3 linked regions of the Drosophila melanogaster genome follow. The gene in region 3 interacts genetically with the main gene of each other region. Each region holds a gene or a part of one and is shown on either strand. Other genes may lie near its edges. The genes, in order: mip40, mip130 and lin-52.

The links.
Region 1: of lin-52 (region 3) and mip40, changing one suppresses a phenotype caused by changing the other (phenotypic suppression), as found in Drosophila melanogaster (one study listed by BioGRID).
Region 2: of lin-52 (region 3) and mip130, changing one suppresses a phenotype caused by changing the other (phenotypic suppression), as found in Drosophila melanogaster (one study listed by BioGRID).

Annotation. Positions count from the first base shown.
Region 1 is NT_033778.4:19,290,526-19,293,817, forward strand, and holds mip40 (Myb-interacting protein 40), read right to left. Parts: upstream 1,672-3,292; 5' UTR 1,573-1,671; coding exon 769-1,572; 3' UTR 580-768; downstream 1-579. Other genes in the region: Fkbp12 (FK506-binding protein 12kD), read left to right, coding at 1-211.
Region 2 is NC_004354.4:1,906,396-1,911,265, reverse strand, and holds the start of mip130 (Myb-interacting protein 130), read right to left. Parts: upstream 3,028-4,870; 5' UTR 2,914-3,027; coding exon 2,911-2,913; exon of another isoform or gene 2,439-2,910; intron 2,347-2,438; exon of another isoform or gene 1,816-2,346; intron 626-1,815; exon of another isoform or gene 510-625; coding exon of another isoform or gene 1-509. Other genes in the region: Rbcn-3B (Rabconnectin-3B), read right to left, coding at 1-509; Edem1 (ER degradation enhancer, mannosidase alpha-like 1), read left to right, coding at 3,647-3,771, 3,832-4,870.
Region 3 is NC_004354.4:5,752,860-5,756,955, reverse strand, and holds lin-52 (lin-52), read left to right. Parts: upstream 1-1,997; 5' UTR 1,998-2,071; coding exon 2,072-2,111; intron 2,112-2,166; coding exon 2,167-2,340; intron 2,341-2,414; coding exon 2,415-2,519; intron 2,520-2,599; coding exon 2,600-2,754; 3' UTR 2,755-3,307; downstream 3,308-4,096. Other genes in the region: CG15771 (uncharacterized protein), read right to left, coding at 752-901; CG15772 (uncharacterized protein), read right to left, coding at 3,308-4,087.

The sequences.
Region 1 (3,292 bases), on a different chromosome or scaffold from region 3:
GTCGCGCGACCGCAACAAGCCATTCAAGTTCACCATCGGCAAGGGCGAGGTCATCCGTGGCTGGGATGAGGGAGTTGCCCAGTTGAGCGTCGGCCAGCGCGCCAAGCTGATTTGCTCGCCGGACTATGCCTACGGTAGCCGTGGCCACCCCGGCGTCATTCCGCCCAACTCCACCCTCACCTTCGACGTCGAGCTGCTCAAGGTCGAATAGGCGCACAGGATGCCCAATGTGTATACCCCAAACCAAATCGCAGGGGGTTGCGGACCGGCGCACCGGCGACGAGCCGAAGAACATCATAATCGGAACCAGAACAATCCAGCAGCATTTGCCAACCCAAAATAATAATGATAACTTCATACACAGCTCTAAACTAGAACTAATTTAACCGCAAAGGGAACGCATCTTCTACCAATACAAATAAACATTTATTCAAGTCAATGACAAATGTCTTTCTTATCAAAAATCTTGGGATAATCCAATCAAATCAGCTGCGGTTGCCTTTCCGTGCTGCAATACAAATGCATTTCATATTATTTTTTAATCAGGAAAATATGCAAATATAAAAACGCTTTATCATTCTCTTGATAGACTTGAAGTGGTCTACTTGACAAATTTGATTTTATTTTATATAAGTATATAAAGTGTACAAGCATCTTATTTGCATATATATTCGATTTGGAAACAGGATTTTTTTTAATTCTTTGTGCACAATTAATCCAAATTATTTTTCATTTTCTATACCACTTCCAAAATCACCTAGATACGCTTCAGTTTTTGCAGACCAAGCTCATAATCTTGTCAATAACTTCATATCGCTCCTTTTCATACTTCTTGATATGCTTTATCCAGTGTCCGCGCACTTTCTTCCAGCGGTTCATATTGGAGGACAGAAGATCGGAGGTACTGGCACCTTGGAGAGCCTTTTCCCGCTTCTTGTCCTCCTGGCTGAACTCCAGACGAGGCGGAATTATGGGCAGATCCGTGGACTTGGCCTGCGGGAGCTGGTTGATCACCTTTATCTCGCCGCTTTTAATTTGGGACAGGATTTCTTCGCCGTTGTCCTCACGTTTGGTGGCCGTGAGTGAAGCATCTGTTTGAAATGCACCCACAGCTGGATTCTTGGGTTGATTTGCCATCCATGCGCGGCATATGGGGTACAAAGGAGTCTTATCCTGGTATTTGGACAGGTCCAAACTTCGCTCAAACAGGCGCATTACGTAGGTCTCGCCGGGCGCCTTCTGGGCGACTGCCGCTGCTCCAACGCTCTTCTTGTAGAGCACTCTCCTGGCCTTGATGCGTCCTCCGGCGCCGGCTGCGGCTGCACTCGAGGATGTCGAAGGCTTCTCGCTAGAGCCCGACGTGACCGTCTTGACTTTCGGATCTAGCTTTACCTGGTACTGACGCTGCTGTTGCTGCTGGATGAGCAGCTTCTTCGAGGGACGGCCCCGAATGGGCAAATCCGACTCTGCGTCGTCGTCCGGCGGCAGGTTTGTCGTCTCTGGTTTCTGCTCCTCACGGCGCGACTCCCGCAAGCGCAGGGCCGTTTCCTTCTTTTTCGGCACAGTCTTCATTTCCAGAAATCTTGTATTCGACACGAAAATTAAGGGAAAACAATTTCGAATGCCGAATCGGAAATCAAACGGACTTACGGCGCTTCACAACACTGAAACACCACTTCGCCACGCAACACTACATAAGTCAGTGGTATTTCAAAAAATACCATAAATTAAAGAAAACAAACGGTCTTGGCGCCTAACGCTAGCTTGAGAAATAATTCTTTGAATTATTTGTAGCTTAAATGAAAAGAAAAAAGAATAACATATATATTTTTAAACAAAAACTTAATACACATTAATATTTGACTATTCAAAAATATTTAATAGACTTTGATTGTTAAATTAATACTTTTGTAGATTAAAAAAAAAAAAACAAGGAAATGAAAGTCTTAAAAATTTGGTATTTCTCGATTTGGTAATTTTAACCCAAAACCTTTCGGGCTTTTCAACCCACCTTTTATGGTCACACTGCTGTTTTGTGATCGCGAAAAGAGCGACGTGAAAAATACATTTAATTAAGTTTACTGCGAAAAATAAAATAAATAACTAAATTAAAACAAAGCGGAGCTTTTGCGTGAACTGTGTGTGTAGTTGTGAGTGTGTGAGAAAAGAAAAACGAAAACAAAGCCAACGAGGAAATCGAAGGGGCAAAAGTGGAAAAGATTCAGATTGAAAAGCACCAAAATATCGAAATCACAATTTGAATGTCAAAGAACAAACGACAAAAAGAGCGGAGCAACAAAGGAACATTGGAAAAGTCAAGAATTTAACTTATTCGGTAAGGATGCAAATTGTAAATCTGTGGATTTTGCTTCTTCTGCTCACGCACACATCCACATACAATTGGGAAGTGCACAGGTGTGGGTGGATCTGCTCTGTGTGCAAATAACAAATTGTGAAAAACAACTCGCACACATGCAGATCACCTAGTGCACCAAATAAAAGCAATAAATAAACACATTTCCAAACGGGCAACAAGTTGTGAATGCGTTTTTTAAGGGGGAGGGGCCATACCAAGTTTCCCAACGTTTCACATTTTCAATCGATCTCGGTTGTTTTTATATATGTATGGATATTTTTTATCTACTATTGCGTAGCTGCCAATGTCACCTGTTTTTTGCTCTCTCTCTCTCTCTCTCTTGCGCTCTCTCCCTCCCTCTCGCTCGCACCCACGCTGGCTGTAGCTGGTTTTTATCTTGTGCCGTTAACACAGCCATTACGTGTCTCTTTCGCACTCGCACTGCACATTGGTGTTCGTGTGTCTGTGCAAGACTGCACGTAACTGTATTACCCATTCGTACATGCGTATACGTATTTCCGCCTATTGATAACGGCTGAAACTCCCTCGAAATGGCCGTCTTTTCGAAATATGTAAACGAATCGTTCGGGTACATCCCCCGACCACCACCCACCCACCGCCCACTCAACCCCCTCCAAGCGCTTCTAATCGCAAAGTGCAAATATTGATTTGCTATGTGTGCTTTTAGATTTTCTCCCACTATCAATAACAATAAGCGCTCTCTGTACGTTGTTTTTGCTTCGGTTTGGTTTCGTATTAAGAAAACAAGTTCACAAGTTTTTGCACTTGTTATGCACTGTAAGAAAAACGCAAGTTTTATTCAAGAGCTCCGCATTACCGCATTATATTGCCAATTGTGAAACTTTTATAATATTTATACTAGCAGCTTAGTTTTGTAACTTTCGGAAATAAAAAGTTTTGGTAAAACAAACAAGA
Region 2 (4,870 bases), 3.8 Mb from region 3:
CGCATGGGGCGCAGTACGTGAATAGCGGATATCCAATCCGGTTTGACCTTTGAGCTGAGCACGTAGATCACCTCTAGGCTGAACGGATCCATGACCATGATTTCAGCATAGTAGCCAATGCAAAAGAGGCGCACATCCTCGCTGTTGGCGGTGTGGTAGCTCTGAATTTGGGTGTGCACCTGTGGAAGCTTGACCGCCTCCATGCACTTGCCGTCCGTAAGATCCCAGGTGCACATCTCTCCGTTCTCAGACGAGCTGACCAGGAAGTTGTTCTCCGGCAGAAGCGAGGCACGCACTAAGCACAAAACGGGCGCCGAATGGCCCACCAAGAGGCACCGCGGCGACATCTTCAGGGTGGTGGGCTCCACTTGCCAAAGGCAGATCTGTCCATCGTAGCAGCCGGTGACCAGGGTAAACTGATCGTCCGAGAGGAACACGCTAGAGATGCAGTGCGTGGGCGCGGTGGGACCCCACAGCACCACGGGTACCACCAGATTGGTACTCACCATGGTGGTGCGCTTTACCCAATCTGTGCGGTGGCTCTCCTTCTTCTCCTCCTCCGCCGGCTTCCTTCTGCTCCCTGCTCGTGTCGCTGGTAATCGTTGCTTTGCTGCGACTGCGGGCTCTGCAAGAATAGTTATTGAGTAAACATTTGCTCACTTCCACCTAGTGGATGCGAATTATTTATGGTGGCCCCTGTGTGTGTATGAACTCCAGTTGTGGTCGGCTTTGAGTGCGTGGATGGTGCAGTGAAAGCTGCTAGTCAGTGACTCACCCAAGGTCCTTCGAATTCTGTGATTTCTCATCATCATTTTATTCAACCTGCTTTCCTAGCAGCTAATAGTGCTCTACAACCCACAGCTGTACGATGTAAATTGAAAACTGAATTTATATGGCGTTCTTAATGGAAAAGATGAATGGCAAAAGGGGTAATGTTGCCTAACGTTTTATAAACAAGCTCAGTTTCTCATTTCCTGTTGAATGTTTAAACAGACTTCGGGAATAAGCGAAATCGAACTAAGCAAAGTTTACATTTACAGCTTATGCAATTTGTAAACAATATAAGAACAATTAAAGGAACAAAGTGCAGCCACATTGTCGAGACTTTTCATATGCTTAACTGACGATTTTTGGGCCACTTACAGGAGAAGCATAACAAATTGGGTTGTAAATTCAAAAGTATTTATAGAGATCCATCTTAAATCTTTACCTAGAGTATGTGATAAGATAAGAACTTCCTATTTTTATGGATAGATTATTTGGTATAGCTACAGTCTTGGGTCTTGCGAGCTGGTTCTCTGGTCTGATAGTGATTTCTGTGTGTTATAGTTGTATCAATCAGGAATATGACTTTATCGTGTTAGAGAGTTCTTCACAGGGCTTTCCCCTCCTAGCTTGCAGGTGAATTTGTCAGTCGGAGTGACCTGCAAAGCTCTTCAGATAAGACCGCATTACAGGGGACACTCGTTCCAGCACACGCCACCTTATCGGCACATGTGTCCAACTTGGCCAGCCTCCACTGTACTCCACTCCACCTCGGATTGTCCAAAGATAAACAAGGGTTATACAATACATATGTGCGGCAAAAGCAGAGACTCAATCCGCGGATATATATCGGGTTTCGTGCGGAGCTGGGTATATGGGAGGGCGCCTGATGTCGCCAATTGAAAGATCAATTAATTGGCCGACTATTTGGCATCGCAATTTGAGCGGATTTTGCTTCTGCTATCGCACACAAACACACACACCCTCACACCTGGACACGCACACAGGGACAAGCCATAATAATTGTAGATAACTGGGCATTTATCTAACATTTTTCAGCAGTTTTCCGTATTGGGCTGGCTGCCGCGCGTGATTCCTCCGCTATGGATTCCGATTCCGATGCCAATTCCAATTCCAATTCCGAATCCGAGTTCGATTCCGAGTCAGCCTGCTCTCGATATGGAGAACTTAATGATGGTCCGCTACTGGTGGTGACGCTGCTTATTGATCCTGGTCGACGGACATCGCGGTGGCGGAGCAGCGGACTTCAATGTCGATTTCGATTCGATTTGATTCTAATTTATGGACACGGGACGGGCGAAACGCACACCACCCCCCGAGCACACCAACACACCAACACCTTTCCGCTGTACAGATTGCTTACAACACACACACGTTGCGTTGCTGTTGCTACTTTGTTATTGCTTTTGCTCGCCACTTTTGCGAACTGCTCATATTTGTTGCACACACTTTCCGCTGGAACATGCACTCCACGGGATCAAAACACTGCACTGTACTTTCGATTTACTTAGCTATTTCCTTTTTTTTTACACGAGTGTGAAAAAAAAGCAACGAAAATCGACCGTGGAGTAAAATTTTTCGATAGATTTGCGTGAGCGGATAGGGTTGCAACCGCAGCTCCGGACGCTCTTCTATCGATGCCATGCGAGGGGCGACAGCCCTGACCAAAAAATTTAATATTTTTCTTTAATTGTTTATAAATATGCAAACAACTGGGTGGAAACACGATTTCCAGATCCCAAATGGCACACGCTTATATCTACGGTCAACGGGATGGTTTCAATGTGGTTTCTGGTCAGCCAGAGGCAATCCCGCATGTATAGACCCACAATGTTGTTACTTTTCGCCCAACGGACAATTAAGCATACGCGATTGCATTTAAACGATCGCCTTACGCGGAGTACAAAAGGCACACGGGCCGTGATGCAGTTACTCCGCGAGGTTATAGTCGACCCTCTTTCTGAGTTTTTTTTACGCGGAGAATGATTCAAAACCGAAACACATCGCTGCCCATCGCCAGAACTGCAATTCGCAGTCGGAAGCGTAACAAAGGCTGCGGATTTCTTGGTCAGCTCATCCGGAGGATGTCCGGGTGTGAAACGGGTGCAGAGGGCAGTTACTTACCATAGGGTACAGTTGCTTCTATTGGAGGCGGTCGTTTCGCTGAATATTTTGAATTTAAATCACTTTTTACCCGTACGAACACACACTTTTGAATGGCCACAAAAAAAACTGGTATGTGCTGCCAACTCGACGCGAATAAAAGTATAAAGGAACGTGTGCCGCGCAAAGCAGTGACAAACAATCGGTATATTTGTCATCACAAACTTTTTGAATTCTTAAAGAAATTGCCATTTAATTTTTCCAACCCGACTTTAATATTGCCGCGCTGATTTTACGGCTATTCTGAGCTGTTGTATTCCTTTAACAAGCAATGACCACCATGCAAATTCGATCTGACCACCCTTTCGATAGTTATTCGATCAGCAACAGCTGATTGCACCCTACGGAATGACATATCCTATTGCTAGGGATTTTGTTGGGTAAAATTAACGTACTTCAGAATTGGCGGAGAATACAGTGTTTGCTAGCCTATAGTGTTTGGTTGTTACCTTAAAAAAGCTCTTTGGCTTGTGTTCTTTCCCCCGTTTGCTACTCTAAGCGCTCTATAAAAAAACACTCACCGAACGGAATTAGTAGGGCATTCGGCGGTCGATGCCACCGCCGAATCAGCCCTTGTTGTGATTTTGCGTCAACGTAGCCGCATTTGACTTCCACACATCCCACATCCACGCTGGCTATGGAACACTGACCATGCCCATAATTGAATTAGCGGCCCTGATTGATTGACTGTCCCACGATGCAGCAAAAACCCCGAAACAACGGCTATCCGGGCACCCTCATCTGCGCGGTCCTCCTCGTCCTGCTGTCCACCGGTGTCAGCGGCCAGAAGCAGTATTCCAAGGCAAGAAAGTTGGAACTGAGGTGGGTCATTGCTAGGGCTAAACTCGGACATACTAATCCTAACCGGCAATGAATCTGCAGGGAGGATGTGCGGCGCATGTTCCAGCACGCCTACGATGGTTACCTGCGCCACGCCTCCAACTACGATGAACTGCGTCCGCTGACCTGCGATGGCCACGACACCTGGGGCAGCTACTCCTTGACACTGATCGACGCTCTGGACACGCTGGCCACCATGGGCAACTTCACGGAATTCCGCCGCGCGGCAAGACTGCTCGAGGAGAAGATGGATTTTGACAGGGACATCAACGTGTCCGTGTTCGAGACAAACATCCGCATCGTGGGCGGGCTGCTGTCCGCGCATCTGCTCTCCAAGCGTGCTGGCGTAGAGCTAGAGCCAGGATGGCCCTGCAAGGGACCTCTGCTGCGACTGGCGGAGGATGTGGCCCGACGATTATTGCCAGCCTTCGTCACGAACACGGGTATGCCTTATGGCACGGTGAACCTGCGCTATGGCGTGCCCAAGGGCGAGACCTCTATAACCTGTACGGCGGGCGTGGGGACATTCCTCATCGAATTTGGTACCCTTAGCCGGTTGACCGGGAAAACCATCTACGAGGATGTTGCTATGAAGGCGGTACATGCTCTATGGGCATATCGCTCGCCCATTGGACTTTTTGGCAATCACATCGACGTGCAGAGCGGTCGTTGGACCGCCCTCGACTCTGGTATCGGAGCAGGAGTGGATTCCCTTTTTGAATACCTAGTTAAGGCATCTGTCCTGCTCAATCGCCCAGAACTCTTGGAGTTATTCCATGAGGCTCGCGCGGCCATTGATAAGTACATGCGGAAGGAGGACTGGTACGTGTGGGTAGGCATGAACAAAGGCCGCGTCACCCTTCCCGTCTTTCAGTCCCTGGAGGCGTTTTGGCCCGGCATCCTGAGCATTATTGGCGACACGGAGCCGGCCTTGCGCACCATATCACGGTACATTGGGGTCTGGAAGAAGTACGGCTTTCTGCCAGAGTTTTATAACATTGCTGCTGGAGAGGCATCGCCGAATCGGGAGGTGTACCCCCTGCGACCGGAGCTAATCGAGTCAGCTATGTATCTCTATCGA
Region 3 (4,096 bases):
TAAGATCGCAAATAGACTCATTTATTGTAATAAATAAAGTCAATGGCCTCTGAACGTTCAAACAAGTACATATTGCGAAGTGCTACCTATTATCATCAATTAACCTTTAGCTTCTTTGTGTGCCATTCACTTTATAAGAAGGTTATATTTCAAAAGAAACCATTGACGCGGGTTTCCAAAGTTTGTTGGTATGACGTTTCGTTCAACTTTTGTTAAGTGCAAGTTCCTCGATTTCCGACCTTTTTGCAATCGTTTGCAATCGATAATGCGCACCACGATAAGATCCTGTAAAGTGCCTTTTAACATTTCGAAAACCGAAGATTCCGAATTTCCAACGTAATGCCGATTATTTAGTGGGTTTTAGCCTTCTAAAGTGCATGTACCCGTGGTTATATTTAAGTTAAGACCTTGTCGAGTGCACTCTGAGTTTTTCTTTTTTGTTTTTTTTTTTTTTGTGGCTGGGGGATGTGAAGGGAAGGGAAAGGAAATCAATCGGAACGCAAATAAACAATCGAAATTTCGGGCGCGTGCTATCTGCCGAGCGTCCGGGTTTTTTCGACTACGTAACAACGGGCGGGCTGCAGTGGAAAATTTTCTAGCTGGGTCGCCCGCCTGCTGCGCACTTTCACCTCCCCCGCCCCGCCCCCCCACAAACACTACATGGAAAAGAAACGGAAGAAACGCCAACGGATTGGTGATTGGCAGAGGGGGCAGTGAGGCTGTCTGCCTTGGCTTGGTTAACAAAGCTCACCTTTCTGATCGCCTTGGAATCGCCGGCTCTGGTGGGAATCAACGTGTTGTCCAGGTCAAAGTAAAAGGCCCTGATTTTCGCACATGTCGCATCGAAATGTGAATGTGTGGCTGTCAATTGCTTGCCGCAATGGAATTTGCTAGCTGCCATGAGAGTCGTCGAGCGGAGGGGGGGATGGAGGGTCAGCGAGGGGTCACTGTCAGGAGTGGAGGGGTGGTAGCCGGTTGCTTGGTTAGATGGATGGATGCAAACGTAGAGATCCAAGAACAACTTTGGTGCAATTCAATCCGCCAGCGGATTTGCGCTTTGAAATTGGCGCCAAACGAAACGAAACGAAATGTACGAGCTGCACGACTGCAGCAGCACTGCAGTATTTTTCTATTTTCCTCGAGCGGACTGGCAAAAGTTTCCGCTTCTCGCGCGGCGAAGTTAAAACGGCAACTGAATGACAGCGACAAAAAAAATAATGAAACGGAACGGGAGCGGTCGCAGTAATGTCGAGAGACGGGGTAGCGGGGCGGCGGAACAGGTGAGCGCGTGTGTATGAGTGCTTGTTGACTGAGTGAGAGCGGAGCAGCGAATGAAAAACCGAAAGAAAGTGCGAGGGCGCATGGGAAAACAGTGGTGGCCAAAAGTCTGCGTATGCGAACAGTGCTACCAGGCGGCGGCGCCAATTGATAAAAACTTGATAAGATATTGTTATTCCTTAAGATTTTATATTATTATTAAGATGTTCTTGAATAAGTTTATTTCAATAACTGGTTAGACATCCGTGTTGTGTTGTTCTGGACAACTACTGCGCAGCACATGTGCTTTTTACGGGCACATATTTTTTGGCGCCACTGTGCGAAGTGTGCCAAGTGCCGTTTGCGCGCCAGAGCGAACGAGAGCAGGCGACCTAGCGCAGAGTTGTCTCTATGCGCCGTTAAACGACCGTGAGTGGAAAAGAGAGCACGATAGAGGTCGCGGAGAGGTTCGCGTTTCTCTGCTACGACGCCTGCTCTCCACTCTGAATTTAGTATAAGTCGAGGCACGCTCATTTCCTAATTGTTGTGCCATTTATTTTTAACTTCTATTAATAAAACCAGGAAAAGCAATAACAACAGTTCTTTGTTTACCAAAAATATCAGTTGTTTTATACTTCCTGGTGCTTTCTAGCACTGGCTTGGCGGTAAATCGATAGTATTCGATAGTGATTGTTGAAAGTGGCAACGCTATAGTTTTTGTTTAACGAGGTGGCAAGTGATTAGCCCACGGATTTTTTGGCATCTTTCCGTGTTTATTTTCAATAGTTTTTGGAGTTTTTCAACATTATCCGCGATGAGCAACGCAGAGACAACTACGGATTTGCTTTCTACAGGTGAGTAAATATTTAAATCACATGAAAGGCGCCATAAAACGAGGTTTTCTTGCAGAAACCATTCTAAAAGCGGCGGACGAGGAAGTGGAGAAGGCTTCAGCGTCCAGCAGTAGTACGTTATTGGCCGAAAAGGATGTCCCGGAGGTCAAGGAGCGGCCCATAACGCCGGAAGACGAGCTCATCTCCATGGAAACTCTGCGACCCTCACCTGTCCAATGGCCAGAGCGTTGTAAGTGTAGAAAACGTGAGCACGAAGAAATTGGCGCCATTTTTAACGCATATCTTTATTTTCGATTGCTCCAGTTCCCGGAATGGACGAGTTCCTCTCCATGAGCGACACGCCGATGTACACGCGCAGCACCAACTACACCAGCAATCTGACCGATGATGATATGGTTAAGATTAATGGTAAGTAGCTGCAAAGTCAATGAGATTTAAGAATAGTATATTAAAGAATAGCATATCCATTACCTACTTTTCTATTCCAGAACTAGCCCAGCTCCCTCCCGAGGATCTGATCGATAAAATAAAGTCAATGCATGATGAAATTTACCAGCTGGGACTGCGTGAGGCAATGGAGATGACTCGTGGGAAACTGCTGGGCATCTTTGACCGGGATCGCGCTCCTAAGCGGCAGCCATGAGGCTGGATGATCCGATCCCTAAGAATGGGACTGTCGAGGATCTCGTTGAATTCGCATTAGGAACATAGGTGTAGTTTCATAGTGTACATAGTGCTATTTTTATAGTGAGTAATGCGTGTTGTGAATGATTTATCGCTATTTTACAAAGATAAATAGGCAGGCGTTTGAACAGTAACTAACGTTTATTTCCATTAAAGCATTTTGGGTCCTACACGTCGCTTGTATTACAGATACATTTGAGGAGTCGGAGGAGAGATGAAGTTGACGGATTGGAGGGAAAGGAATGCAGAAGGATCTGGAGTTTTTGGAGAAGGCACAGTAGATTTCGCTATGCAGGGACATTAACGCAACAAATAACTCTGTCTATGTGGGATTGGATGGATCGGTTGCGCTCTAGTGCGTCCTATTAATACTTAACTAAATGCTTTCGTTCGGATTTATGCAGTAGCCTTCCCCACGATCCATCCCAATTTGGGAAAGTGTGTTGGTGCTGATGGTGTGCTTACATGCTGTTTCCCGTGAATATATATCCAGTAACGTGCATCAATTCCCATTACTCCTGCCACTGCATTCCGAATCGCTGCTCAAAGGTGATCCGGTTAAAGACGCCCGCATCGGCCAGCTGCAAGGGATCGGTGTAGTACGCAAAACGCCGTATATCCAGCATGGCCAGGTCGAACATTTGCTTCCAGCTGGTCAAATCTGTAACGCTCATGTGGATCGGCAGCTGGGGATCCGGTATATCGATGGCCGCCTGCAGACGGTCAAACGCCTCGGCAATTGGTCCCACCGATAGATTAACCCAGTACTCCGCTGGAAAGCGCTTGTTCTCACAAAACGGCGCTCCCTTGCGCATGATGAAGACCAGCATGAGTATCTCATAGCGCTCGGAGCTCTCATAGAAGCGCTTGGTTCGGGTCTTCTCCACGAAATCGATGAGAAGGATCAGGGGAGTGTAGTTCTGGAGGTGCATCAACAGCTCCCGGTCGGTCCAAAGGTAACGGCCGCCTTTGACGGTCAGCAGGCTCATGTTGCTGGCGAGTTGTTGATGCTGCTGCTGCTGCTGTTGCTGCTGCAGCTGGTGGTGTTGCTGCTGCTGAAGGTGTTGCTGTTGCTGCTGCTGATGTTGGTGTTGCTGCTGCTGTTGCTGCTGGTGTTGCTGGTGCTGCTGCTGCTGGTGTTGCTGCTGCTGGTGCTGCTGGTGTTGCTGCTGCTGATGCTGCTGGTGAATGCCGCCGGCGGATGGGGCTGGAGTTCCGGTGTTGGATGCCACCTGGCTGGGCATGGCGACCACAATGCCCGTCTGTCTCTGGCAGCCAATCTCCTCCACCATGTGCGCTGC